7 linked regions of the Macaca fascicularis genome follow. The protein of the gene in region 2 binds, or shares a complex with, the protein of the main gene of each other region. Links are inferred from orthologs where the notes say so. Each region holds a gene or a part of one and is shown on either strand. Other genes may lie near its edges. The genes, in order: LSM7, PRPF6, LSM2, TXNL4A, LSM8, LSM6 and PPIH.

The links.
Region 1: PRPF6 (region 2) and LSM7 share a complex: the UniProt entries of both Homo sapiens proteins name them as parts of the U4/U6-U5 tri-snRNP complex. The link is inferred for Macaca fascicularis from reciprocal best matches to the Homo sapiens genes PRPF6 and LSM7.
Region 3: PRPF6 (region 2) and LSM2 share a complex: the UniProt entries of both Homo sapiens proteins name them as parts of the U4/U6-U5 tri-snRNP complex. The link is inferred for Macaca fascicularis from reciprocal best matches to the Homo sapiens genes PRPF6 and LSM2.
Region 4: PRPF6 (region 2) and TXNL4A share a complex: the UniProt entries of both Homo sapiens proteins name them as parts of the U4/U6-U5 tri-snRNP complex. The link is inferred for Macaca fascicularis from reciprocal best matches to the Homo sapiens genes PRPF6 and TXNL4A.
Region 5: PRPF6 (region 2) and LSM8 share a complex: the UniProt entries of both Homo sapiens proteins name them as parts of the U4/U6-U5 tri-snRNP complex. The link is inferred for Macaca fascicularis from reciprocal best matches to the Homo sapiens genes PRPF6 and LSM8.
Region 6: PRPF6 (region 2) and LSM6 share a complex: the UniProt entries of both Homo sapiens proteins name them as parts of the U4/U6-U5 tri-snRNP complex. The link is inferred for Macaca fascicularis from reciprocal best matches to the Homo sapiens genes PRPF6 and LSM6.
Region 7: PRPF6 (region 2) and PPIH share a complex: the UniProt entries of both Homo sapiens proteins name them as parts of the U4/U6-U5 tri-snRNP complex. The link is inferred for Macaca fascicularis from reciprocal best matches to the Homo sapiens genes PRPF6 and PPIH.

What each region holds. Positions count from the first base shown.
Region 1 is NC_088393.1:2,988,140-2,992,383, forward strand, and holds the start of LSM7 (U6 snRNA-associated Sm-like protein LSm7), read right to left. Parts: upstream 2,801-4,244; 5' UTR 2,769-2,800; coding exon 2,763-2,768; intron 2,680-2,762; coding exon 2,589-2,679; intron 1-2,588. Other genes in the region: SPPL2B (signal peptide peptidase-like 2B), read left to right, coding at 2,921-2,986. UniProt on the Homo sapiens protein: Plays a role in pre-mRNA splicing as component of the U4/U6-U5 tri-snRNP complex that is involved in spliceosome assembly, and as component of the precatalytic spliceosome (spliceosome B complex).
Region 2 is NC_088384.1:120,135,527-120,139,026, reverse strand, and holds part of PRPF6 (pre-mRNA-processing factor 6), read right to left. Parts: intron 3,141-3,500; coding exon 2,985-3,140; intron 826-2,984; coding exon 731-825; intron 274-730; coding exon 117-273; intron 1-116. UniProt on the Homo sapiens protein: Involved in pre-mRNA splicing as component of the U4/U6-U5 tri-snRNP complex, one of the building blocks of the spliceosome.
Region 3 is NC_088378.1:139,906,118-139,910,382, forward strand, and holds the start of LSM2 (U6 snRNA-associated Sm-like protein LSm2), read left to right. Parts: upstream 1-1,465; 5' UTR 1,466-1,628; coding exon 1,629-1,718; intron 1,719-2,059; coding exon 2,060-2,127; intron 2,128-4,265. UniProt on the Homo sapiens protein: Plays a role in pre-mRNA splicing as component of the U4/U6-U5 tri-snRNP complex that is involved in spliceosome assembly, and as component of the precatalytic spliceosome (spliceosome B complex).
Region 4 is NC_088392.1:1,012,524-1,016,643, reverse strand, and holds the start of TXNL4A (thioredoxin-like protein 4A), read right to left. Parts: upstream 2,801-4,120; 5' UTR 2,627-2,800; coding exon 2,474-2,626; exon of another isoform or gene 2,204-2,473; intron 897-2,203; exon of another isoform or gene 860-896; coding exon of another isoform or gene 824-859; intron 93-823; exon of another isoform or gene 91-92; coding exon of another isoform or gene 25-90; intron 1-24. UniProt on the Homo sapiens protein: Plays a role in pre-mRNA splicing as component of the U5 snRNP and U4/U6-U5 tri-snRNP complexes that are involved in spliceosome assembly, and as component of the precatalytic spliceosome (spliceosome B complex).
Region 5 is NC_088377.1:159,620,838-159,624,914, reverse strand, and holds the start of LSM8 (LSM8 homolog, U6 small nuclear RNA associated), read right to left. Parts: upstream 2,801-4,077; 5' UTR 2,690-2,800; coding exon 2,659-2,689; intron 1,260-2,658; coding exon 1,219-1,259; intron 1-1,218. UniProt on the Homo sapiens protein: Plays a role in pre-mRNA splicing as component of the U4/U6-U5 tri-snRNP complex that is involved in spliceosome assembly, and as component of the precatalytic spliceosome (spliceosome B complex).
Region 6 is NC_088379.1:151,041,508-151,044,063, reverse strand, and holds part of LSM6 (U6 snRNA-associated Sm-like protein LSm6), read right to left. Parts: intron 542-2,556; coding exon 428-541; intron 1-427. UniProt on the Homo sapiens protein: Plays a role in pre-mRNA splicing as component of the U4/U6-U5 tri-snRNP complex that is involved in spliceosome assembly, and as component of the precatalytic spliceosome (spliceosome B complex).
Region 7 is NC_088375.1:192,210,766-192,214,902, forward strand, and holds the start of PPIH (peptidyl-prolyl cis-trans isomerase H), read right to left. Parts: upstream 2,801-4,137; 5' UTR 2,777-2,800; coding exon 2,711-2,776; intron 2,379-2,710; coding exon 2,314-2,378; intron 1,996-2,313; coding exon 1,972-1,995; intron 1,703-1,971; coding exon 1,658-1,702; intron 343-1,657; coding exon 300-342; intron 1-299. UniProt on the Homo sapiens protein: PPIase that catalyzes the cis-trans isomerization of proline imidic peptide bonds in oligopeptides and may therefore assist protein folding. Participates in pre-mRNA splicing.

The sequences.
Region 1 (4,244 bases), on a different chromosome or scaffold from region 2:
CCGCCTTAGGTCACAACTTGGCACCTTGGGTTAGGGCTCTCTGACCCGGTGGTGACCTCTGCCATCTGATCCTGCTCCGCAGTGTCTGGTGACACTGAGAAGGATGAAGGGGGAGCTGTGTGTCCTCAGCAGAGGCCAGCCCACCCTCCCTGTCCGGGACTCCCGTCCTCTCCCCCCAGGCTCCTCCAGCCCAGGCCCAGGAGCGGTTCCGCCTCTGCGCTCACTGAGGGGCGTCCCTCAGCCACCCGCTCCCTACCCTCCTTCTTACCCCTGTCATCTTTCAGGTGCTTCCTCCAGACACCAACCCACACCCCTTAGGGTGCTGCCCTCTGCATGCCCCCCACCAATCTCAGGAAGCAGGCACCCCAGGCATTATTCTGCCCGCCTATCTTCTCCCAAGGCAGGGCTGTGAGCCTGTCCATGGCCGTTCTGCGCTGCGAACTACGACCAGAGGCGAAAGTGGCCCACCGCTCATCTCTGTATGCCAAAGTTTCACTGGCCCACCAGCACACTCGCCCGCTCAGGCACTGACCAGGGCGGCTCTCCTGCTCTGCGGGCATAGCTCACTGGTTGTGACAAGAGACCATCTGGGCTGCAAAGCTGAAGATATTTGCTGTCTGGCCTTCTACAGAGAAGGTCTGCCCACCTGCATACAGGCTTTAGCTCCTACCTCCACGGCTCCCTCTCTCTGCGCTCAAGTCCCTCCCCTGCAAAATGAAACCTGTCACCTATGAGATGGGGTCAGACGCAACGGTTCAGGTCCTTGGCACCAGCCTGACCAGTGAGCCAGCCCTCCTCACAGGGACAGATGTGAGCACTGAGGTAGGTAGGTCTCTAACCAAGGTTCCCCTCCCCGGGGTGTGGGCTCGGGCCTGTGACTCTGAGGGGACATGACGTCACTCCTGCACTTAGGTTATGCAGCTGTTTAAGCCCCTGAACCAGCTGACTTTGAGCCAATCTAGAGGGAAACACCCTGGGTGAGCCTGACCATATCAGGTGAGTCCTTCAGGGAGCAAACCCTTTCTCTGCTGTGTGTGTGCGTGTGTGTGATTTATTTATTTTTAGACGGAGTCTCGCTCTGTCTCCCAGACTGGAGTGCAGTGGCGCGATCTCAGCTCACTGCAACCTCTGCCTCCTGGGTTCAAGAGATTCTCCTGCCTCAGCCTCCTGAGTTGTTGGGATTACAGGTGTGCACCACCACGCCCAGCTAATTTTTTTGTATTTTTCGTAGAGATGGGGTTTCACGAAACCCCATGTTGGTCAGGCTGGTCTCGATCTCCTGATCATATGATCCGCCTGCCTCAGCCTCCCAAAGTGCTGGGGTTACAGGCGTGAGTCCCTGCGTCCCGCCAAGAGCTGCAGCATGCATCACCAGCCCACTGCCCATGCGAATGCTTCCTGCCCTCTGAGAGCTCGCCCTGTCTTCACTAGATTCCATGGAAGAGTTGCAGGCAGAGGCAAGCATCAGGTTAACATGCACGAAACCGCAAACGGTGACAGGTGCTACCAGGATCCTAGAACGATGGGGGGCCTGACGCCAGGGTCAGGGAGGGCTTCCCAGAGCAAGCACCTGTGGAACTTGTGCTTCTGCCGCCCTTTGCAGTCATAATCAGAAGTATGGATTCGGATTTTACTCCAAAACAACCGGGAGCCTCAGAGGTTTTCAGCAGGGAGCAAGAAGCCTCCATTTCTTTTTCATTAGGTGCCTCTGGCCGCTGAGTGGAGACTGACCTTAGTAGCTGTGATTCCCAATCACAGCTTGGGGGTCGGGGGGCGATCCTATCCCCAGAGAACACTAAGCAATGTCTGAGGCTATTTAGGTTGTCACAACTTGGTGGAGGCCAGGGATGCTGCTCAGCACCCTGCAGTGCCCCAGGACGGCCCCACTCCAGAGAATCCGGCCCCAAATGTGTCCACACTGCTGTGCGGGAAAGACCTTGACTTAGAGGGAGGAAGAGGAGAAGCCGGGAGATCTGTGGGGATCTGGGGCAGTCCTTGGACACACAGGACTGCTCTGGAGGCCAAGCCGGAAATCCCAATACCGGCTGCGCCACTGTGACTTTGGATTACGTTTGTTTCCCGCTCCTTGCCCCAGTTTCCCCGCCTGCAACATGGCCATACCAGTTCCTACCTCCCGGCGTAATTCGGAAGCCTGCACAAGGTAGTCGGCGTCAAGCGTGTAAAGAGGCGCCTCTGCGGCGGCTCACGCCTGTCATCCCAGCACTTTGGGAGGCCGAGACGGGCGAATCACTTGAGGTCAGAAGCTTGAGACCAGCCTGGCCAACATGGTGAAACCCCGTCTCTACTAGAAATACAAAAATTAGCCAGGAGTGGTGGCGCCTGTAGCCCCAGCCACGCAGGAGGCTGAGGCAGGAGAATCGCTTGAACCCGGGAGGCGGAGGTTGCAGTGAGCTGAGATCGCACCACTTGCACTCCAGACTGGGCGACGGAGCGAGACTGCGTCTCAAAATAAATACATAAATAAAAATAAATAAAAGAGGCGCCTCTGCATGCATCCTCATCACCTCTGTTGCTGACTTTATTTTAAAATTTTAAAGGGGGGGTGCCAACGGCGGGAGCCGCCTCACCTTCGCGTCCTCCCTGAAACTTCACCCGGATCGTCTTGTCGATGTACTTGGACAAGTCCAAGATGCTCTCCTTTTTCTTCTTCTCCTTATCCTGCGGGGAAAGCAGAGCGCATGAGGCCTGGAGCGCGGCCCGAGCCCCACGCCCCCCGGCTCCGGATTCTGCCGCGCGCTCACCGCCATCTTGTCGCGCCGTGAGGCTCTTCGCAGACACCGCCCCGTGCCCTGTGACCTCTCCCCTCCCCCCCACGCGCATGCGCGGCGCATGCGTGGCCCGGGGTCTCGGGGCGTTGCTGGGAAACATCTGCCGACGGTTGCGGCGGGCACCGGCCGAGATGGCGGCGGTGGCGGCGGCTGCGCTGGCGCGGCTTGTGGCGGCCTTTCTGCTCCTCGCGGCCCAGGTGAGCGCGGCACCGGTCCCGACGGCACCGCAGGCTGCGGCCCTTCGGCCTCTCGGCCCCGAGGCTACGCGCAGGAACGACCCCTCTTGGCCCGTCTTGGGGGTCCAGCCTCGGGGATCCGCGGTCCCCTCGTTGTCGGCCGGCGGTGCCGGGGCCCGGCCGTGACCTTGCGGGGCTGTCCCCGGCTTCTCTCCCTTCCCCGCCTCGGAGGCCCTCCGCCGCTGCAGCGCCCCTCACTTCCCACCGGGCCTGAAGTTTGTGCCCCCTCCATCTCCCTGTTCTGCTTGTCCGTTTCGGGGTCTCCAGCCGCCGCGGGGGACGCCTCTCTCCCGCTCTGTGGCCTTGGGCAGGCGGCCGCCCACCCCGCTCCGAGCCTCAGTTTCCCTTTAGGCGGAATGGCCCGGTGCTAAGCTAACCTCACCCTAGGGGGTGCGGTGGGGGAACCCAGAGGCGTCCCGCGTGTCCCCCAGTGACTGGCCAGCATCCTGGAGCGGCCAAGAGCCCAGCCCTGCACTGGGGTCGTATTCCCGCTCCATCTTTTACTCCGTGACCTTGGACGAGGGAATTCCCTGCTTTGAGCGTCAGTTGCTCGTCTGGAGAAGGGGGGTCGACTATGGTGTGGATTCTGGAGATGCTACCCAGGGTGACCAGCGCCTAGGGACAGCACGCCTTCCTTATATTCATTGTGTATCCTTTGATGTAGAGTGTCAGGTTCTAGCGGGGACAGTCTACGAGATGGCACTGTCGTAACTGCATCTTTTATTTTCTTAATTCCAAATCTTACCTCTTACCTGAGTTTGGTGGCTCAGGGAATGGAACCCGGAGCAGCCTCACAAATGCGGCCCTTAACCTTCACTCCTCTCTCAGAGTTCTCTTAAGGCGTCGCTGCCACTGGGCTCCTTCTTAGTCTCCACTCTTCCAGCCCCACCGCCATCCCCCTGCTGTGGCTGCCTTTGTCCCCCACATCCCTAGTCCATCCTCGACACAGCAGGAGTGACCCTTTCAAAGTATGTCAGTCCATGTCGCATCTGGATGAACGTGCCGTCCAGTTGTGACCTGGCGCCAGGGAAGCCTGCAGCTCATTGCAGGAGCTTCGTTGTCTAGTCTTTTCTCTTACCCTGAAATGCCCGTGGTCTCTGCAAGGCTGGAGGGCCCCCTCAGAAGCTTTCTGCGAACCGCACCTCCACCCCCAGCTGCCCTGTCAGCCCCCTGGACTCCCCCTATTCTGAGGCCAGGGACCTAGAGACCCCAGACATTT
Region 2 (3,500 bases):
CTGTCCCACTGTCTGTAGTTTCAATACCAAAAGAAAGAGATTTGTTCTAAGGAGTTTACTCCCATAGGGGGCCCACAATCATGCAGCCTCCCAGGAAATGCCTCAGCGCAGCTCACCTTGGGGCACATCTCTGTCCCCTTCATGATAAGGTTCCGAGCTACTTGTAGCTTCCCAGTGACTTCTTCCAGGCGGGCTGACGCAATCCAGGCTGGCGGGTGATGAGGGTTCGTCTCCCGAACAGACTTGAGGAGCAGTCGTGCCTTCTTGATATCACTACAAGAGGGAGAGTGCACACAGCATCAGGCCATGCTGTCAGGGGTGCACCCGAGACCTAGAAGGAAGGCACCCACCTCCCAGTCGCAATGTAAGAACCATCAGTCCTGATGTCCCGAGTTACACAAAACAACTCAGAACGTCAGTGTGCGCTCCTCCAAGCCTGTTCAGCCTCCCTGAGACAAACGCTGAGAACCGAGGTCCAGATGGGGCACGTGGGACACAGCCAGCTGCTTTCCTGCTCAGCACAGGCAGCGACTTGCGGTATCACATGTAACACGTTCAGTGTATGCAATGACTGGATACAGACACATTTCAAATGGAAAAACCAAACTACTCCACTTTATATTTCTTAGAACAACGTCACATTTTGACTGCATATTGCCCATATAAAATCCAAAATATCCTAGGTAACTGGAGTCTCCATCCCAGCCCAGCGGTTCTGCGAAGCACTCACTTGATGTCCCCTCCGTGTGTCGGGATCATGGAATTTAAATCCGTCAGGTAGCCTTTGGGGTCAACGACGGTCTGTCCACTCACGGAGTCAGACACCTGTGAGACAGGCCAGGCTGAGTCAGCTGGATGTGACCAGGTGCAAAACGAAGATCTCAGAGGGTCCCTGGAGCCCCTCCCACAATCCTCGGTGAGTAGTCAGGAGAAGAAAGAAAACAACCTTCATCGCACTCAGACAACACCTTGTGATAATAACAAATTTCTTCTGTATGGAAAAAAATCTATATTTTTATTTATTTTTTTGCGACAAGGTCTCACTCTGTCACCCAAGTAGGAGTGCAGTGGCAATCATAGCTCACTACAGCCTCCAGTTCCAGGGCTCAAGGAATCCCCCTGCCTCAGCCTCCAAAGACTCTGTCTCTACAAAAAAACATAATTTTTGGCCAGGTGTGGTGGCTCACACCTGTAATCTCAGCACTTTGGGAGGCCGAGGCGGGTGGATCACAAGGTCAGGAGTTTGAGACCAGCCTGGCCAGGATGGTGAAACCCCGTCTCTACTAAAAATACAAAAATTAGCCAGACGTAGTGGCACACGCCTATAGTTCCAGCTACTTGGGAAGCTGAGGCAGGAGAATCATTTGAACCTGGGAGGTGGAGGTTGCAGTGAGCCAAGACCGTGACATTGAACTCCAGCCTGGGGACAGAGTGAGACTGTGTCTCAAAAACAAAAACAAAAACATGCTGACACACGCTGCACCAAGGATGAACCTTAAGGACATGAGCTAAGTGAAATAAGCCCGTCACAATAAGGTAAATACTGTAAGACTGCAGTCATATGAGGTCCAGAGAGTAGCGAAATTTACAGAAACAGAAAGAATGGTGGATGCCAGGGGCCAGGGAGAAAGGGCATGGGGACTTAGTGTTTAACGGGTACAGAGTTTCAATCTGGGAAGATGAAACAGTTCTGGAGATGAATGGTGATGAGGTTGTATAACAACATGAACATAATTATGTCAATGAAGGTATGTACAGTTAAGAAAGATTAAAATGGTAAATTCAGTGTTACATATATTTTACCACAAAAAAATTACTGTGACAGTTTTATTTATTTTGAGAGTCTCACTCTGTAATCCAGGTTGGTGTGCAGTGGCACGATCATAGCCCACTGCAGCCTCAAACTCCCTGGCTCAAGCAATCCTCCCACCTCAGCCTCCAAATAGCTGGGACTACAGGCACGCACCACCAGGCCCAGCTATTTCTTTTAGTTTTTGTAGAGACGGAGTCTCACCATCACCATGTTGCTCAGGCTGGTCTTGAACTCCTGAGTTCGAGCAATCCTCCTGCCTCGGTCTCTCAAAGTGCTAGGTGGAAGGATCGCCTCAGCCCAGGGAGGTCGAGGCTGTATGTAGTGAGTCGTGATTGCACCCCCCTTTTTATTTTTATTTTTTTTGAGACAGTCTCACTCTGTTGCCCAGGCTGGAGTGCACTGGTGCAATCTCAGCTCACTGCAACTTCCAGCATCCGGGTTCAAGCGATTCTCCTGCCTCAGCCTCCCGAGTAACTGGGATTACAGGCACCCGCCACCACACTTGGCCAATTTCTGTATTTTTAGTAGAGACAGGGTTTCACCATGTTGGCCAGGCCAAAAGTAGTATGTATGTTCCTTCACGGTTTCTGATGTGCATATCAGAAAGATATGTACTTCACTGGTGTCTAGAGCACCCAATCTCCAGATCAAAGTACACGTTCCATGCAGGGCCACAAGACAATTTACTGAGGGGCAGGAAGAAAACACATTTCTAAAAAAATCATTATTTTATATTTTTTAAAAAGCCCAGGTGCAGTGGCTCACACCTATAATCCCAGCATTCTGGGAGGCCGAGGCAGACAGATTACCTGAGGTCAGGAGTTTGAGAACAACCTGGCCAACATGGTGAAACCCTGTCTCTACAAAAAATACAAAAATTAGCCGGGTATGGTGGTGTGCACCTGTAATCCCAGCTACTCAGGAGGCTGAGGTAGGAGAATCGCTTGAACCCGGGAGGTGGAGGTTGCAGCGAGCCAAGATCATGCCATTGCACTCCAGCCTCTGGGTGACAGAGCAAGACTGTCTCAAAATTAAAAAAATTTTTAAAATCTGCAGAATTATTCAGGCAAAAATCAAGCCAAAAAAAAAAAAGAAGAAGGAGAAGAAGAAAACAAAACAAAATGAAAATATCTAAACCTGTCTACAGGAAAATGCTGCGTGACAAACTCACCTGGCTCAGCCTCATGTCCATCAGAGTGTTCCTGGCTTGGCCAATCTTCCTCATGTCCAGCTCACCGGTGCCAGGTGTCATCAATCCTGGTGTCATTCCACCTGGGTATGGAGTGTTTAGTCCACCTGGATAGGGTGTGTTAAGACCTCCAAATTGCTGGAGGAGAAGAGAGGAAAGGGAAGAATAAAACAACAGTTTGCATTTTATTTTTTTTGAGGCGGAGTCTCGCTCTGTTGCCCAGGCTGGAGTGCAGTGGCGCGATCTCGGCTCACTGCAAGCTCCGCCTCCCAGGTTCACGCCATTCTCCTGCCTCAGCCTCCGGAGTAGCGGGACTACATGCGCCTGCCACCACGCCCGGCTAATTTTTTGTATTTTTTAGCAGAGACGGGGTTTCACCGTGTTAGCCAGGATGGTCTCGATCTCCTGACCTCGTGATCCGCCCGCCTCGGCCTCCCAAAGTGCTGGGATTACAGGCGTGAGCCACCGCGCCCGGCCAACAGTTTGCATTTCATGCCA
Region 3 (4,265 bases), on a different chromosome or scaffold from region 2:
CCTCCCAAAATGCTGGGATTTACAAGCCTCAACATTTTGTTGTTGTTGTTGTTTTGAGACAAGAGTTTCACTGTTGTTGCCCAGGCTGGAGTACAATGGCACGATCTCCACTCACTGCAACTTATACCTCCCGGGTTTACAGGCGCGTGCCACCACACCTGGCTAATTTTTGGGTTTTTAGTAGAGACAGGATTTCGCCATGTTGGCCAGGCTGGTCTAGAACTCCTGACCTCAGGTGATCCATTTGCCTTGGCCTCCCAAAGTGCGGGATTATAGGCGTCAGCCACTGCGCCCGGTCAATTTTTTTTTTTTTTTTTTTTTTTAAAGACGGAGTCTCTCTCTGTCACCCAGGCTGGAGTGCGGTGGCGGGATCTCAGCTCACTGCAAGCTCCGCCTCCCGGGTTCACGCCATTCTCCTGCCTCAGCCTCCCGAGTAGCTGGGACTACAGGCACCCGCCACCTCGCCCGGCTATTTTTTTGTATTTTTTAGTAGAGACGGGGTTTCACCGTGTTAGCCAGGATGGTCTCGATCTCCTGACCTCGTGATCCGCCCGTCTCGGCCTCCCAAAGTGCTGGGATTACAGGCGTGAGCCACCGCGCCCGGCCAATTTTTTTTTTTTTTTTGAGACGAGTCTCGCTCTGTCGCCCAGGCTGCAGTGCAGTGGCATCATCTTGGCTCCCTGCAACCTCCACCTCCCGGGTTCACGCAATTCTCCTTCCTCAGCCTCCCGAGTAGCTGGGATTACAGGCGCCCGCGACCACGCCTGGCTAATTTTTTTTGTATTTTTAGTGAAGACGGGACTTCACCATGTTGGCTAGCCTGGTCTCGAACTCCTGACCTCACACAATCCATCCACCTTGGCCTCTCAGAGTGCTGGGATTGAAGGCGTGAGCCACCGCCCTCGGCCTTTTTTTTTTTTATCAGCTGAATTTAAGATTAAAAACATTTTTTAATTTTATTTTTTGAATTTTATGTTTTTACTTTAACAAATATAGAAAAGTGCACACTTCATAATCTTCACAAACTCCCCACAATTCTCGATAGGATGTGTGTAGAGGGCACGAACACATCACGCTGTGGACGGCAGGGTTATGGAAAACAAAACCTTTTGAGCTCAGACGCCGAGTGCCTCCACCCGCCTAGCAGCCCAGGCTAGGGTCCGCGCCTGCGCAATGGGAGCCGGCCGGCCCTGGAAGAAGTCGGAACGAAGGAAACCCCGCCCCTTTCCCGGCTTCCTCCTCCCCTCGGTTTTACCCAGCTTGCGCTCCCCAGCCGCAAGTCGGCCGCGCTTTACCCTTCAGCGCTTGGAGGGTTCTGCGTCCCTTCCCGCTGCGCCTGCGCGGTCCCGCCTCGCCCCACGCGCGGGCTCGCGCTTCGGTTCTCCCAGACCTGGTCTCAGCATCCGGCTCTTTTCTCGCTCCGGCCCGCTGCCCGCTGCGCCAGCACCATGGTGGGTACCGTGACGTCAAAAGGGGTCGCCCTCGGGGATCTCGGACGGTTGGGGCAGGGGGGTCTGGCCTTTGTCCCCCTAGGCTGGAGTTAGGTCCGGAGTTTTTATCTTCATCGTTAGTCCTGTTCCTCAAGTTCGTTGAGGAGACACCTGAGAGCAAATGGGATTTTTTTTTCCATGATGAGGAAAAAAACCCCAACCCTGAGAGAGATTCAGTGGGGACAGCGGGAGACGGAAAAGTTAGACCTTAGAGCACTTCTCTGCCAGGCAAGCTTCGGCAGGGTGCGGGTGGGATGTTTTCTGTAATTCATTGAAAGGAGTGGGCAGGTACCCGAGAAAGGTGGTCGATTGAGAGAGCACACTGGGGAGGCCGAGGTATGCAGGGCAGAGCCTCTCTGGGACTTTAAGTGATGGGCTCAATGCAGTGTGCAGAATAATTTGGGCTCCAGCCTTTCACCTCTCAACCAATTATTCTTTCCTGTGAAATTTTGAGAACTGTTAGGGATGCAATGGGGTTCACAATACCGGTATTTGGTAATACTGTCAAGGGACACTCCTCCCTACCATGTTCCTTCCCACATGATGGTTTTCCCCCTCTCTCCCAATAGCTCTTCTATTCTTTTTTCAAGTCCCTTGTGGGCAAGGATGTGGTCGTGGAACTCAAGAATGACCTGAGGTAGGTACCTGTTCCAACAAGTCTGTTGGGGGTGGGTGTGCCCAGGGCCCTGGAACCTCTTTAATTTGAGAAATATTTGAGGGCTGGGTGAGGTGGAATATGTACAGAAGAAATAAATGGCCGGGTGCGGTGGCTCACGCCTGTAATCTCAGCACTTTGGGAGGCTGAGGTGGGCGGATCACGAGGTCAGGAGATCAAGACCATCCTGGCTAACACGGTGAAACCCTGTCTCTACTAAAAATACAAAAAATTAGCCAGGCATGGTGGCAGGCGCCTGTAGTCCCAGCTACTTTGGAGGCTGAGGCAGGAGAATGGCGTGAACCTGGGAGGCAGAGCTTGCAGTGAGCCCAGATCACGCCACTGCACTCCAGCCTGGGTGACAGAGCGAGGCTCTGTCTCAAACAAACAAAAGAAATAAATGGGTGGGGTGCAGTGGCTCACGCCTGTAATCCCAGCACTTTGGGAGACTGAGGAGGGAGGATTGCTTGAGCCCAGGAGTTTGAGGCTGCAGTGAGCAGTGATTACTCCATTGCACTCTAGCCAGGGCAATAGAGCAAGACCCCATCTCTAAGACAAATTTTAAAATTTAACAATAAATAAATGCCTTGTGCCTTAAATTTACAGATAAGCTTGGGGATTGTATTGTGTATTGGAAAACAATACAAAGCAATATACAGTTTAAAGAGTAAATACTGGTCAGGTGTGGTGGCTCATGGGCTGGACGTGTGGCTCATGCCTGTAATCCCAGCACTTTGGGAGGCCGAGGTGGGTGAATCACGAGGTCAGGAGTTCAAGACCAGTCTGGCCAAGATGGTGAAACCCCGTCTCTACTAAAAATACAAAAATTAGCCAGGCATGGTGGCAGGTGCCTGTAATCCCAGCTACTTGGGAGGCTGAGGCAGGAAAATCGCTTGAACCTGGGTGGCAGAGGTTGCAGTGAGCTGAGATTACGCCACTGCACTCCAGCCTGGGTGACAGAGTGAGACTCTGTCTCAAAAAAAATAAATAAAGAGTAAGTACTAGGCTGGCCATGGTGGCTCACACCTGTAATCTCAGCACTTTGGGAGGCTGAGGCAGGAGGATCACTTGAGTCCAGGATGTCGAGACTAGCCTGGGCAACATAGAACCATTTCTATAAAAGATTAGCCAGATGTGGTTTACATGCCTGTAGTCCCAGCTATTCGGGAGACTGAGGTGGGAGGATCACTTGAACCCAGGAGGTCGAGGCTGCAGTGAGCCATGATTGTACCACTTTACTCCAGCCTGGGTGACAGAGGAAGACTGTCTCAAAAAAGAACAGGCCAGGCCAGGCGCAGTGGCTCACGCCTGTAATCCCAGCACTTTCGGAGGCCGAGATGGGCGGATCACGAGGTCAGGAGATTGAGACCATCCTGCCTAACATGGTGAAACCCCGTCTCTACTAAAAATACAAAAAATTAGCCTGGTGTGGTGGCGGGCGCCTGTAGTTCCAGCTACTTGGGAGGCTGAGGCAGGAGAATGGCATGAACCCAGGAGGTGGAGCTTGCAGTGAGCCAAGATGGCACCACTGCACTCCAGCCTGGGCGACCAGAGCGAGACTCCATCTCAAAAAAATAAACAAAAAAACAGAACAGGCCATAGGCTGGGCATGGTGGCTCATGCCTGTAATCCCAGCACTTTGGGAGGCTGAGGTGGGTGGATCACAAGGTCAAGAGATTGAGACCAGCCTGGCCAACATGGTGAAACCTACGTATTAGATATGCTACTGTGTATCTAATACCTAGTATAGGCCAGTTGTATGATAGGTGCTTAAGGAAAGAAAAATAATATCTGAAGACCTATTGACTAAGCACTATTCTGAATACATTTATTGATTGATTTCTCAAACACTCCTTAGTAATATGTACTATTGCTGTTATACATATGAGGAAACTGAGGCTTAGATCAGCTATACCACTTGTTCAAGTCTACAAAACTAGTAAGTGATACAGAACAGAAATATGATTATGTCCAGCTTTTTTCTTTTTCTTTTTTCTTTTTTTTTTTTTGAGATAGTCTCGCTCTGTCGCCCAGGCTGGAATGCAGTGGTGTGATCTCTGCTCACTGTAAGCTCTGCCTCCCGGGTTCATGCCATTCTCCTGCCTCAGCCTCCCCAGCAG
Region 4 (4,120 bases), on a different chromosome or scaffold from region 2:
CGAACATCTGCAACTGTTACTCACTTTAAAACAGCTGGGACATCGACAGGACTCATAACAAGATAAGGAAGATTCTCCATTATCTGCCATTTCTGCACAGGGAAATTTTTAAATAGTTATATTGTTCTTTATACTAAAATCTTACATTTCAAAAATTTCTGTTGAGTTTCCCCAAAAGAGCTTCCAGAATTAGAAAGTCATATTTTGCCCATATACTAAGAAGAAAATAAAACACGAATAGTCTTTTAATGCATTTCAGGTTTGCACTTATTTTTGGAGACAGGGTCTCACTCCTGTTGCCCAGGCTGGAGTTCAGTGGTATAATCATGGCTCACTGCAGCCTTGACTTCCCGGGCTCAGGTGATTCTCCCACCTCAGCCTCCCAAGTAGCTGGGACTACAGGCATGTGCCACCACGTCTGGCATTTGTACTTTTAGTAGAGAACGGGTTTCACCATATTGTCCAGGCTGGTCTCGAATTCCTGGGCTCAAGTGATCTGCCTACACTAGCCTCCCAACCAAAGTGCTGGGATTACAGATATGAACCACCGTGCCTGGCCTAGGTTTGCGCTTTTAATAATTATACTATAATATTTGCATTAAAAGTTTATTAATAAAGCAATCCAAATTTTTGGACAGAAACAAAAATCAAACTATTTTAAAAGACCAAAAAAAAAAAAAAAATACCCCAAAGTGAGCCCATTTCAACTGTCCTTAAGTGTGTGTCCACTAGTGATACAGTGATTCATTCTGTAATAACAAAGAAATCGGACATAAAGGAATTGGAAAAAAAGAGCAAATCTGGCAAAGACCCTAACACTTACATTAACACATAAAATCTGTTTCCTAGCTAAGAGCATCTTGCTGAGCTCTGCCTGGATGTGATGAGACAAAGGCCCTCACATCGCCAGCCATCCTAGCCTCGAGCTGCCGGCAGCAGGATCTGAACACCAGCTGATGTTTATGCCACCATCTGCAAGGTAGAACAGTGAAAGATTCTAGAACTCGTAACTCAAAGTCAGTGATTTACAAGCAGTGATTTACTTATTGGGAAACTGCTCTTCGTCAATTCTTCGCTGGATTTCCAGTATCTGCCCTTGTCCACTACAAGTCAAGCAATGAAAAGCTGATGTGCTGGCACTGCCTCACTCATCATCTCTAATCCCTGGCTGGCAGAAGCCCCAGTGTGAGAGAACTGCTGCTCTCCTGATTCCCTAGGCAGCTCCTCAAGTCCTCAGTGTCCTGCTGTCCAAGAGGAAGAGGCTGGGAGATGGCTGGTAATAAAGCACTCCGCCTCTGTCCCTGACCCCCATGGAAGGGTTTCTGAGTGTGTGGTTCAAGGTCAGGTCACATCAGAATTCCCTGAGGGGCTTCTTTAAAAAGCCATTGCTGGACTTCACCCCACACCCATAGACTCAGAATCACAGATGCATTTTAGTAAGCACTCCAAGAGATTCTTGTAATAACTAAAATATAACAACAGTTCCTAACATCACGCCTCTCCTACTAAATAAGAAATAGCAAGAATTAATAAATGGCAGGCCAGACAGTCTTTCCTTTCCTCAATATAAAATGTCTTTATATCTGTTACTCTTTACTCAAAGGAGTTATTTTAACCCAGCCTACTTTAGCATCTGTGAAAGAAAAGATAGCTTCAATGTTACTTTTACTCTTCATCAAAATGAATAACCGCTCAAATTACTTACGGAAAATTAATATGGCAAATATTTTATTAACACCCTAGTATTTGTGCCCTTTGCCCTATTGCTACAGCTGCAAAACCTAAATAAACGCCATCCTAAAATTGCTGTGAGGAACCACAGAAAAAGAATGAAACCTGGTTATAAAATAGTGTCCCACAACTTTTATTGTCAGCAAGTAAGTGCCAAGGCCACTCAATGTACTAATATTAGAAATTCAGAAAACTAGTTCCAACAAAGCATAGTTCTATTTTCTCCCGATGTTTTCTGCATCTTAATCACTCTAAGCTATAAATCACATGACTTACAAAAAGCGCGGTGGGAGAAAACAACAACAGAAAAACAGGATTTCTTATGCTATTAACATGAAAGTTCTGCTTTACACATACAACAAACAAACAAGGCACCAAAAAAGGGCATCCTTTTAAATTAAGGATCTGCGCTCTCAAAATCTGCAAGTGTTACTTTGTTCACTGCACTGTAAGATTGGGAAAAACGCCTTACCAACAGAAATAATGAATTCCTTCGAGGGGAGGGGGATCATAAACCCTTTAAAACGTGAACAACTACAGGACCTCCCTGCAGAAAAAGGCGCGAAACGCCGGCACAGTCCCCGAGAGCGCTCGCCCGCAGCGCGGGAAGGAATCGCCCGGACGACCGCGCCGCGGCCCCTCCTCGGGGAACGGCTCGCGCCCCCAGGCGAGGCCGGCGGGGCAGAGGCGCGGGGCCGCTGCGGAAGCACAGCCAGCAGGGCGGGAGGGCCCGGCGCGCTACCTTCTCGGCGATGCTGTATAGGACCTCGTCCATCTTCATGCAGGTGGGGTCCCAGTCGTGGCCGAAGCGGATGACGACCACGCGGTCCTCCTCGGAGAGAATGGCCTGGTCCACCTGCCAGCCGTTGTGCAGGTGCGGGAGCATGTACGACATGGCGACCCGCGCGCTCGCCGCCGCCCGAGGCCGGGCGCCAGGGAGGGCCCAGCGAGGTGGTGGGCTCAGCCGGCCCCTCACTCCGCGGCCCCCGCCGCCCCCGGGCCCACAGCCGAAACCCGGTCCCACCCGCACCCGCAAGCTCCGCTGGCACTGCCGCCGGGCGGAACCTCTGGGCGCGCACGCACCGACGCCGTGCGTGCTGACGTCATGCGCACGGGCTGGCGCCGTGCGTGCTGACGTCACGCGCGTACAGACGCCGCGCTAACTTGTCGTTGGCCGGCGGGAGCGGCGGCGACCTGGCCACGGTGGAGCGCGGTTGGTGCCCTCCTAGCCGGCGTCGGAGTGGGGGTTCCTCCCCAGCGTCCAGGCGGCCTGGTGGTCCTGAGAAGCCCCGGGCTCGCCGTGCCCTGCCCCGACGCACCCGCCCCGAGGCCGCCCGCCGCCGCCCGGGCTGTCCTCCAGCCACGGATGGGGACGTCTTCAGAAAGGCCCGGCATGCCCGGCACTGCGGCTCGTTTTTTTCCTTTCCGGTGTCTGTTTCGGGTCATCGTTTGTGCTGTGTGTTAGCGAGACGGTTCGTGTGTGTCATTTGTGAAACTTGACCATAAAAATGTGTCGTTGTTGCCATACCCAGCCACGGCAGAGCCGAGCAGCGGGGTGGGGGGAAGCACTGGGCAGGCCGTCCTTGAGGAATGTCACCGTCAGGCCGGCTGCTGAGCTGCCTGTTGTAACCCGAAACCAGAGTTTTTGTCTTTTTATAAAGAAAAAAAATTTTTTTTGAGACGTTGTCTCGTTCTGTCGCGCAGGCTGGAGTGCAGTGGCGTGATCTCGGCCCACTGCAGCCCCCGCCTCCCGGGTTCAAGCGCTTCTCCTGCCTCAGCCTCCCCGTAAGCTGGGACTACAGGCGCCAGCCCGGCTAGTTTTTTTGTACTTAGTAGAGACGGGGTTTAACCATGTTGGCCAGGCTGGTTTCGAACCCCTGACCTCAAGTGATCCGCCCGCTTCGGCCTCCCAAAGCGCTGAAATTACTGGAGGAAGCCACCGCGCCCGACCTGAAGCCAGTTTTATTGCATAGCTTCAGCATAACTTGCACCTCCAGGACTGATCTGGCTCCCCCGGCTTCGCTCCCCAGTCAGAGCTCCCCAGACCCTTACTGGTGCCTATGAACTTTCTCCAAGAGAAATAATATTTCTCTTTTTAAAATAAAACCTCTAATCTCTGTTCTTCTGAGAGAGCACTTTGGGTTCATGTTAGAGACTCCCCCTGGTTTGCAAACTGACATTGACAGTAAAACTCTTGTCTGCTATCCAGCCATCCTTGTGGTCCTTTGGATGACAAATTGACAACAAATCATGCCGGGGCGCGGTGGCTCAGGCCTGTAATCCCGGCACTTTGGGAAGCCGAGGCCGGTGGATCGCCTGTGGTTGGGAGTTTAAGACCAGTCTGACCAACATGGTGAAACCCCGTCTCTACTAAAAATACAAAAAATTA
Region 5 (4,077 bases), on a different chromosome or scaffold from region 2:
TTTCCCAGTTTATTATCCTGTTAACAAAAATAAGAAAATTTAAACGTAAGGTTTTCACTAAATAAAAAATAATGCAAACATCTATTAATAGCAATAGGCTTCTTGAAGTGTTGAGGTTAAAATATGTCAAACTGTCCACATTTGAAAAAATACAATGTGAGGTGCCTAAGAAAACATGATTGCTTCCTTAAGAAAGAAGCCAGGCAACTGGCCTTGGCTTTGATGTCAAACCAAATTTAAATCCCAGTTTGGTTCTGTCACCTGCTACCCTTGTGACTCTGAGAAAGTGAGTCACCTTCTCTGAACTTGTTTCCTAATCTAGAATACAGGGGTACTTATTCTTCACAAGGTTGTATGTACATTAATTAATGTAACACATATGCACCTGGCACACGATATAAATTTAGTAAATGGCAAAGCTAGAACTTTGACTAACAATAGTCACTAAGAACAAACGAAAGCAAAACTGCAGAATGGAAAAATAAGGGATCAAATTATTTAAAGAAACTAGGTAGGGTTAGAAAAGTTTAGTAGCCTTAAAATTCTTTTGAAAGCATTTGGAGTAGGAATTATAAGTGAAGAAATAATCAAGTGCCCAAAAATCTTGAGATGAATTCCTCAGATCAAATTCCAAATACAAGTATCACCATAGGAACGTTTTATCTTTGTTATATGACATAAATTAGCAAGGGAGAAACAACTTCAAGGAACAAGCCAATTTTACGTAAATATGTGTATATAGAGAGAGTCAATCATCATAATGTGTCCTACAGAAGACATGTCACACAACCTAAAAACAAAGAATGTTAAGATTGTATACAAGCCTTAAATGTTGATATGTAGATATTAATAGTATCTAAATCATTAAAAAGTTACTAAGCATATGCAAAATTTCAAAAAATTCTGATTCATGTGGTGCCGAATGAGGAAGGAAATAAAAATGGAAGAAGAAAAGTAAGTTTAATGAAGGTCTGCAGACTAGGAGCTCTCTGAGGGCAGAATCTATAACTCTAGCTCCTAGAAGCCTTGTAGGTAACACGCCACGTTTATGAGTGAGGAAAACGTGGATTGACAGCAAAGTGATAAAGAGCTGAATTATAATAAAACTGCACTACAGGTGTAATGTGCTGTCTAGGCATTAGAGATCAGAGGTTTCACATAAAACTTGCAACCAATAAACCTACAGGAAAGCAGAGAATGAAAATTCCGAAGACTTACCACAATCATCCTCCCATCAGATGTAATAACGGCAACAGTTCCTGATAACTGAATAAAGGAAAGTGTTTCTTAGGGAATGCAAATTGAAAACAGACTCTGGCAAGGTAATGATTTAAATTATTAGAACAAATATGACAATTAGGTAAAAGTGTTCAACACAGCCACTAAGTTCACTACATAAAAACGTTGAAAGATTTTGGGACGCCAAGGCAGGAGGATCACTTGAGGTGAGACTAGCTTGGGAAACACAGTGAGACCCCCCCCATCTCTACTACCCTGGCCTGGTGACCTATAGTCCCAGCTACTCAGGAGACAGAGGCAGAGGCAGGAGGATAGCTTGAGCTCAGGAGTTCAAGGTTGCATTGAGCCATGATCAAGCCACTGCACTCCAGCCTGGGCAACACAGTGAGACCCTCGACTCAAAAAAAGAAAGAAAAAAAATTTTTTAAAAGCTTGTTTTAGTTTTGTGATAATTACATGACTAAAAAAAGGAAAAAATAGAAAAGAAAACCTCTTTCTGTATGTGATCGGTGTATCCTATCTCAAAATATCCTGGATTTTTGACACTTTTCTACTAGGAATGCTGCCAATCTATTATTTCGGACAGGATATTTCGTTTCTTGGGCCTGTTTATATCTAAAATGAAAACTGGATGAGTACTAAATTCATCGATGTTGGACGATTTTCAAGCATGTTAAAAAACTGTCTTCCGGGGCAGGCTTCTGTAATTCAAAAGTAAATAAACTATATAATCAGTGTCACAAGGTACTAACAATGCCTGTAACATTAAAAGCATTCGGTATTTAATTTTTGTCACCCAGTTTGTACCTGAACTTAACATAGTGTTTTTGTTCTGAGACTTTAAAACGGTAACACTTGTAAAGTCTATTTTAAGACTTCCCGTGGGGTTGTTACTTGCTCCTCACTATAATCCATTACAACAGCAAGCATTTTTTTCATTCCACCACCAGGTAGGGTCTTCAAGTGGTAAAGGGACAGAAACAGTCTGTGAACCATCGTTAAACTTTCTGCTATCCTCGAACTAATGAGCATATTATGTGAATAAAACAAGTACACAGATTTGCAAAACTGTTGTCGCAGCCAGGACGACTGTTAATCTTATTTACAAACTTGAACACTTATGCCCTAGGGAAATAGTAAGGAAGAATCAAGAGCGTAATTTTTTTTAAGACAGAAAAGTTCGGAAAAATCACACTGGGTTTTTATTTGGCTTTTGTAGACAAAATGGAAAGGACCCCTGGGCCCGCAGCAGCTGGCAGGCTCTAGGCGCCGCCGCCGAACTCTGGGTCATTCCGGGGTCCTCATCTCGCCCGCCCCCAGGATCCCGCCGCGGCCGGGCCTCCCAACTTCCCACCGATCCCCGAGCGGCGGTCTCTCCGCGGCCCCGGCTCACGCCCGCGGCGGCCAGCTTGAGGATACGGTTGATGTAGTTCTCCAAGGCGGACGTCATGCTGCTCGGACCGGCAGTTCCGGATAACGCAGTGGTGCCGGCCACAAGCAGAACTGAAAGGGCGCGCCAGAACTCGGCAGCGGTTCGCGTCTGCGGGCCGCCGCAAATATCGTGAGAGTTGCTGCTCCGCAGCCCTTTGACTCGGAAATTGGGACGAACTAGCCAACCAAACAGAAGCAGCGCCGCTCTGACGAGAGAGTGCGCGTGCGCAGTGTGTTTTCGCTGTAATTCTGGGCCGTGTTCCGGAAGCCGTGTAAGACAAAGGGAACGAGAGGCGGAAAAAAGGAGGACGCTTCCCGAAGGTGGGGTACGAGAGAGAAGTTGGGGGAGAGTGGGTTTCCAATCCGAGTAAAACCCAGTGTGGTGGAAGATAATAAGTGAAAATGTTGAGGTAGAGCAGGCAGGAAGAAACAGGATAAGGCGTTTTTTATTAGGAGTGAAGGAGGAGAGTAGACGAGCGCTGTTGTGTGAAATGCGGGTGCGGGTAGTTGAATCCCTAGTTTTCTGCAGCAGGAGCCGAAAATAACACTAAAAATAAGTCCAGTTGGCCGGGACAAAGTTGCGCACGTTATAACCACACGGTGTAAGCGTCTTAAGAACTCAACAATGAAATGCACGTTCGTATGTTCTGCTTTTGTCTCTAAAAGTGGTCCAAAATGGAGGTGTTTTTACTTTTTAAAGAAACTAAATGCAAATAGAAAAAGGTGTGTGACCATCCCTTAGAAAACGAATGTTCACGCTTCTACCACGCCGGGATGGTCTGCCGGAATTCTCCAGGGTGAAATTAATAAATAAAAGGCTCCTTCAGCACCAAGAAAGGACTGATGCAGGAAGGCACCAAACTTGGTTCTAATCTTGGCTCTGCTAACGTATTGGTGTCATTGCACAGGTCACTTCAATTCTTCTGGGCCTCAGTTTCCTTATAGTGCCATAGGTATCATTTCAGATATTTCCCAATGTGATACTGTTCCCACTTTATTTACTGTGTTGCCCTAACTTGAGAGAGCTTGAAGTTAGAAAGAGATTTATACACAAAACATCAGCAGGAGCGATTTCCCTTTTTTACAAAATATCTTTATGATTTAGGTTAAACATGTATTTTCTTAAGAATTGTGGCTTTGGAATAACTCTTGCAATGTCAGCAGTTTTCCTGGGAAAAGGAAGCATTTCTTAATTAGAGCATACCCACAAGATACCTACAAGATGACTCCCAAATAGTTAAAATTTTATATTCTGGAAGTTATTCCGATCTGTTTGAAATCAAATGTAGTCAGGAATTAGATTGTGAATGTCTCATATTCTCAGGGTAACAAATGAAAGTGTCTTCCACAAATGAAAGAACAAAGATAATTGTGTGATTTGCAAATGTTAGGAGTTGAATCAAAACC
Region 6 (2,556 bases), on a different chromosome or scaffold from region 2:
ATCTGCACAGAAAGCATCTGAATGTTTAATAGAGAAGGGACAAATAGGACAAACTGCCAAATTATGCAAATTAAAGACAGCAGGGAAATGGTGCCCATTCTTACAGCTGCAACTTCCAGGCTACAAGAAGCAGGAATATGTGTTGGGGAGATAATAATACACTATATTCAAGAGAGCAGGGTTCCGGGTCAGGAGAACAATGCCCCCAGTTCCTCATCACTAAAGGAAGGGAAGGAGGGAATTTTAGTTTAAAAATTCCATGATGTATCTAAAAAAATAACTGGTCAAACTGACATATAAGCATTTTAAAATAATCAAGCCTAAAACTGGACTTTTAAATTATCTAGTAAACTCTTTGGTGATCTGGATTATAAACAGAAAGGCTTATTTTGAATGAATGCTGTACTGTAGGGTGAAGAAATGTTACCATTGTTTCCTCGGATAAATGCATCCCCATACTTATTCTTCAGTTGTCCATTTACATATTCTTCTGTCTGCTCCAGGGCTATATTCATGTAGCCATCCAAGCAAGCCAGGACCCCTGTAGACATATTTAGTCAAAAAGAAGAAATACAAGGCAAGTAGGAGTTGAAAATTACAGGGTATACCTTAGAGCAGACAATCTCTTTATTCATTAGCTCTTAGATGCTTAATAAAAAAATTCATACCCTAAATGAAACTCAACAGCTTAAGCACAAAACAACTCTAGGCCAATCTGAATGAAGACTAGGAAGGCAGTCACGCACCCACTACTACCCAGTAAAACAACAAACTGTCACTTCCCTCACGGTATGTATGACCACATAGCAACTTTTAAAGCATTCAAAAAAGTAAGAGAATAAGACTAATCCAACAAAAATACCATTCTGTGAAAGCTAAGCACAAGGTGGGCAATTATGCATGAACAAATGATCCTTGGTTCCAGTGGCATTTCCTACTTCAGCCACTAAGTGAAATACGGGTCTGGCAGATTTATTTCATCCTTTTACAACATCTATTGCAGCAGATGAATGTACTCCAGGGTTAAAAGGAAGTCTCCACAATCTGTTAAAATAATAGAAGAGGAGACAGCAGGTGCTCCCGAAAGAACATCTTAAAGCTGTGACTCACAGTGAAGAGCAGCTTGAGAATATAGGGCAACATATTGCATTATAACACATCTTGTTCTGTTTTGTTACAGCTATAATATTTTCCAATCAAAACTAATAGAGAAAATGGCCAAAAACATTTGAGGGAGCTTTCAAGGAAACAGTTTGAGTGAATCTTTAATTGTGTTAAGATGGTATAAATTTTGTAAAATTTGACCTAATGATCTTTTTCAAAAGATGAAAATCTGCAAGCCTCTAACTCTGTCTCTAATTTCAAGTGGTATTTTCTAGAAAAAAAAATTTAAGTAAAAACAAATACTAGATTCAATTAGTCGAGTCTATAAGTTTCTCATTTGATGTCTTAACTTCATTAATATGCTCCTCACTCTCTGCCTCTGCCCCCATTATCCTCTAAACAAAAAAGTTTCCTTTCAAAATTGTGTGTGTAATGACAGCATAAGACATTAATCTACCAGAATTCTGCTAAAAGCGGTAAACTCTCAAAGAACCAGAATGGACTGTGAATAATAAAATTATTTCCTAGCCAAAGAAAGCTTAAGCTATAACTTTAGCTCATTTCCTGCTGTATTATTTTACATATAAGCCACAATTATAAATGAGCAAGAAACTTCTGAGGCACAATATGCAAACCTGTTCGAAAACTAATGAAAAGAATTTCAAAATGAAATGTCCAGGCTGGGCACAGTGGCTCACGCCTGTAATCCCAGTACTTTGGGACACAGAGGCAGGCAGATCACTTGAGGTCAGGAGTTCAAGATCAGCCTGGCTAACATGGCGAAACCCCGTCTCTACTAAAAATACAAACATTAGTCGGGCGTGGTGGCGGGTGCCTGTAACACTAGCCACTCGGGAGGCTGAGGCAGAAGAATCATTTGAACTTGGGAGGCAGAGGCTGCAGTGAGCCAAGACTGAGCCACTGTACTCCAGCCTGGGTGACAGAGTGAGACTTGGTCTCAAAAAAAAAAAGAAAAAAAAAAAGTTCACTTCTAATTAAAGTATCTGTTCTCACAGCAAAGGCAAAAAACAAAAAACAAAACAAAAAACAAACAAACAAAAAAAACTGCCCAGGGGGTTAGAAATATAACCGTTTCCTTCTCCATGAGATAACCTCCTATACATAACCAAAACAAGACATTTTCTTACACAGAAACTGCTACAGAGAGTTGGAGGTTTTTCTTGTATGTTGTGTTTTGTTTTGGGTTTTTTTTTTTTTTGGTGTTTTGTAAACCACAAAATAAGCACGTTCTTTTAGTAAGGCTATCTAATAGTATAGAACATTTTGTTTTAATCGTATAAAGGCCACAAACAGACATTCATAAGAGGAAAAAAAATTATGGTTACTATCCATGTGAAAGACTGCTGAATCTCACTAGTAAACAAATAAAATATATGTAGAATGAGATATTACTTGTTGCCGATTAGACTGGAAAAGATGAAAAAAAGCTAA
Region 7 (4,137 bases), on a different chromosome or scaffold from region 2:
TGAACCTATCATAGATCATCTACAGGGTATTCTTAAAAAGTCCAATTTCTGGCTCAAAAAGGCTGAGATTTGGACCATGGAAGTTAATGCCTCAATCAAAGTGCTAAAGTCTGTTATCTACAGTCAGTTGTACCTAGCCACTTTCAAGAACTTCCCCATCACCATTCTCTCCAACACCCCCATCAAACCTGGCTATTGTTCTCAAGCCTTAAGACTGGGTCTCTGTAGTAAAAACAGCAATTGCAACAATAATAAAAACTAAAACTACAGGTCTTTGATAGAAAAGGAATAGTACTTACATTAACAAAATCTCCACCCTGAATCATGAAATCCTTTATGACCCTGAAACAGAGAGCAAAGAATACTGAGAGAAGATTTTATGGAGACTTTGTTATTATTGTATTAGATTAACATTGATTTCAAAATACACTATAACTTTGGCTATTATAAAATCACCATTCTTAGCTGGGTGCGGTGACTCACGCCTGTAATCCCAGCAGTTTGGGAGGCCGAGGCAGGCAGATCACATGAGGCCAGGAGTTTGAGACCAGCCTGGCCAACATGGCAAAACCCCATCTCTACTAAAAATACAAAAATTAGCCAGTCGTGGTGGCACATGCCTGTATTCCCGGCTACTTGGGAGGCTGAGGCAAAAGAATTGCTTGAACCCAGAAGGCGGAGGTTGCAGTGAGCCAAGATCATGCCACTGCACTCTAGCCTGGGTGACAGAGCGGGACTCTGTCTCAAAAAAAAACCAAAAACCAAAAACCAAAACAACAAAAAAAGAAGATTATTCTTTTCCTGGAATGATTAAGCTGAAAGGATAATTAACCATAAAAAAGGATTTTAGTTATAAATTAGGGCATGTTAGAGTTGATCAAGTGCATGATCTGGTACCTGAACAGTAACAAGAAGAAGGGGCTGAAAGCCTGCAGGAAGAATGACCACATTACTTGCCAAAGCAAAAGGCAGATCAAGGATTTGATGTAAATTTGGGGGAAAGAACTACAGAGAATTTATGTGAAAGGTACTGCTACACATGTAAGGGCTTAACAATTGTTAGCTATTACCCCTAGGGAGGGTCCTTAACCTTTGTTATCCTCAGTTTCCTCCTCTGTAGAATGCAGATCACACATACCACTTCACAGGAGTCTTACTGGGGATTAGAGACCCACAGTTCTAAAGCTGTGATATAATTATGTGCTAACATTGTTACTAACCACAGTGAGGCCATGAGAAAGATTCTATATTGAAATGAGACTAAGTGTTGCCATACTCCACTCCCCAGGAAATATGATTATCCTTGGACAATCATATATGATCATTTTAGGAATTAGTTATAAATAGCAACCAGCAGGATATATTATATGCACTTTAGGATTACAAGTGTACTTCTTTAAAAATCTGCATTTGCACAAACAAGTGCATGAAAAAGACAGGATATTGTAAAGATGAGTAGTTTCTGTTTTAAAGACATAAGAAGTGGGAGAGTATAAGTAGAGTTAGAATATTTAATAAATCTTCAGTTATTGAGTCCACAAAAACATTTCTTCTCAAGAAATGTAAGAATTACCTCTGGTTTTATTTTCCTCTAAAGAGCCTAATCCCCCAGGAAATATTTCTGAAAGACTCTAGGATGGCTTGCCAAAAGCCTTACCTGTGGAAGGTGCTTCCTTTGTATCCTATTGGAACCCCATCTTTTCTATAACAAAAAGAAAGAGACTTGGAGTGATAGCAGGTAGCACAAGGCCTTTCCAGTTTACCATGCACTGGAGCCAAAAGGACTCTCCTAAAGATGGTTGACAGACATAAAGAAGGCAAATAAACTAGGGACAGACCCTTGGGGCATTACCTTCTATCACTGTCACCAGCAATCATTCAAGGCCAGCAGCTGGTTCACCGATACCCTCACCGCAGCCCCAGAACACCCTTCTGGAGCAGGCAAAGAAGTCAAACACATCTGAAACTGACCTGAATTCTCCGGTGCAGAACTGCCTGAAAGGGACAAAAAGTGAACAATTCAATCACTATGACATCACAGTCGTGACCGCCTCTAAAGACGGGAAAGAATAAACAATGGAGCCAGCAAGTCCACCAATCCGCCAGCCAGACGTCCAAACACGGAGACGTACAGACTAACAACGTAAATTAACACGGGAACAATCCAAACGGCAACCAGACAGAGCAAAGCACGGAGGAATCAGGTCTCAAGAGCAGTGAGCGGACGGACAGAGGTAGACAGGCTATTCAGGCGGCTGACTAGAGCCCGACTTCTGCCTTAGCTAATCCAGCGGAACTGGAGCACGTCCTTACCTAAAGTTCTCGGCCGTCTTAGGCACAACGTCTGCAAAGAGCTCGATCTTCATGCGGCCAACTTCCTGCAATCAGCGGGAGACTGTCAGAAGGCCCAGTCCAAGACCATGAGGGCTTCACGGAGCTGGGGGCAGGATGGGCTGACCCACCACCCTGCCGCTCGGTATCACCCACCTCCGCCTCTCTGGTCTAACCACCCAGTTCCTCCAGAAGCGGGGCGCTAGGATTGGGGAGACTTCTCCTCATTTCTCCCCGCCCTGCAGGTCGGTAGGTTCGGGTGCAATTTCGCTTTCTGGCTGGCTTCCCGAGTCCGCTCTCTCTGAGTGAGTTCTGCCTGCCTAGCTAGCCCCGAGCAGTTTCCCTTCGGCGCAGGTGTGGGTAGCGTCCTGGATCTCACCTGACCGCCAATGCTGACATCAAAGAACACCACGGGGTTAACAGGACTTGAATTTGCCACCGCCATGGCTCCGACCCGGAAGCAGAAGTCGGGAGCATGGGATTCCGGCGAACCTAAAGCCCTGTCCGCGGGTTTCGTCCGGGGAGCAGGCGCGGTGGACGCAGAGAGAGACCGGGCCCCGCCCCCGGAAGCTGTCGCCCCGTGCCGTGTGTGCTGAGGCTGCTGGGGTCTAGCTGGGAGACTCTCCCTGAGACGGGGGACGCGGGAGTGAGGAGGAGGAAAGCCTTGACATCTTTTTGGTTAAGGTCGATGGTCACCCCACTCACGTGGCTGTACTAAGGGCAGTACAAGTTGATCTTGCTCTAGCTAGGGCTTTTGGACTAGGCAGTCGCCAGGGTCCTCCTTATCGGCTCTTGGAACCAAGCCCTCTACACCGCCACACGTGCTGTGTCTGTCTTCTGCCCGCTAGTCTGTGAACACCGTGAAGGCAGGAACTCTGGTTTGTTCATCCTCAGCGTTTAGAACAGCTTGGCACGTAAAGGCTTGCTAAGTAAATATTTGTCCCTTCCTCTAAGTCAGGACAATAGATTAGGTTTCCGTTCTGCCACAAGCTCCCAGTTTGGTCATTTCCAATTCGTTTCCCACAGAGTAACTAGAGTTTTTTATTTTTTATTTTTAAAATACCTCTTGTGATTCCTATTTATTTTTAAAATAACTCCTGGCTTCCTATATTTAGAATAAAATCCAATTCTGTACATAGGAAGCCCTCCAGTGCATTAATCTGGCTATTACCTACCTGACCTCATCTTGTACCACTTGCCCTTAGTTACTGTGCTCTGACCTGTCTGCTCCTCCAGGTCACTGAGATCCCTCCTTTCTTTAAGGCCTTGTAATAGCTGTTTCTTCTGTCTGAAATATTCCTTCCAGATCTTAATGTGGGTTGGCGGGGTGATGGTGGGGTTTGGTTGGGCTATGTGTGTGGGAAGTAATGCTCCTTGTAGTTCAAGGCTCACCCCAGATGTTACCTCCTCAGAGGCAACATTAGACCTAATCTAAAGTAGCCCTTGGTCACTCAGATCACTGGTTTGTTTTCTTCATGCCACCCCCCATTTCACATTTGTATGGTATGTGTCTGCACCTCATTTCCTGCCACACACACATACATCTTCCTCCCTAATAGCATATAAACTCCATGAAAGTAGAGACTCTCTCAGTCCTGTTCGCAGCTGTAGCTGCAATGTCTCCTACTGAATAGCACATAGTAGGTAAATATAATAGATTCAATGAATTTAGTGAAAGAAGGGGAACTTGGGCAAGACTCATTAGCTATAACAGCATGCATTTAATATAATAGTTATTATTTCCTAGGTCCTTTGATCATCTTTTCTAGCTCTGTCGTCGGAGGAAGCAAGAATTACATATAAAAA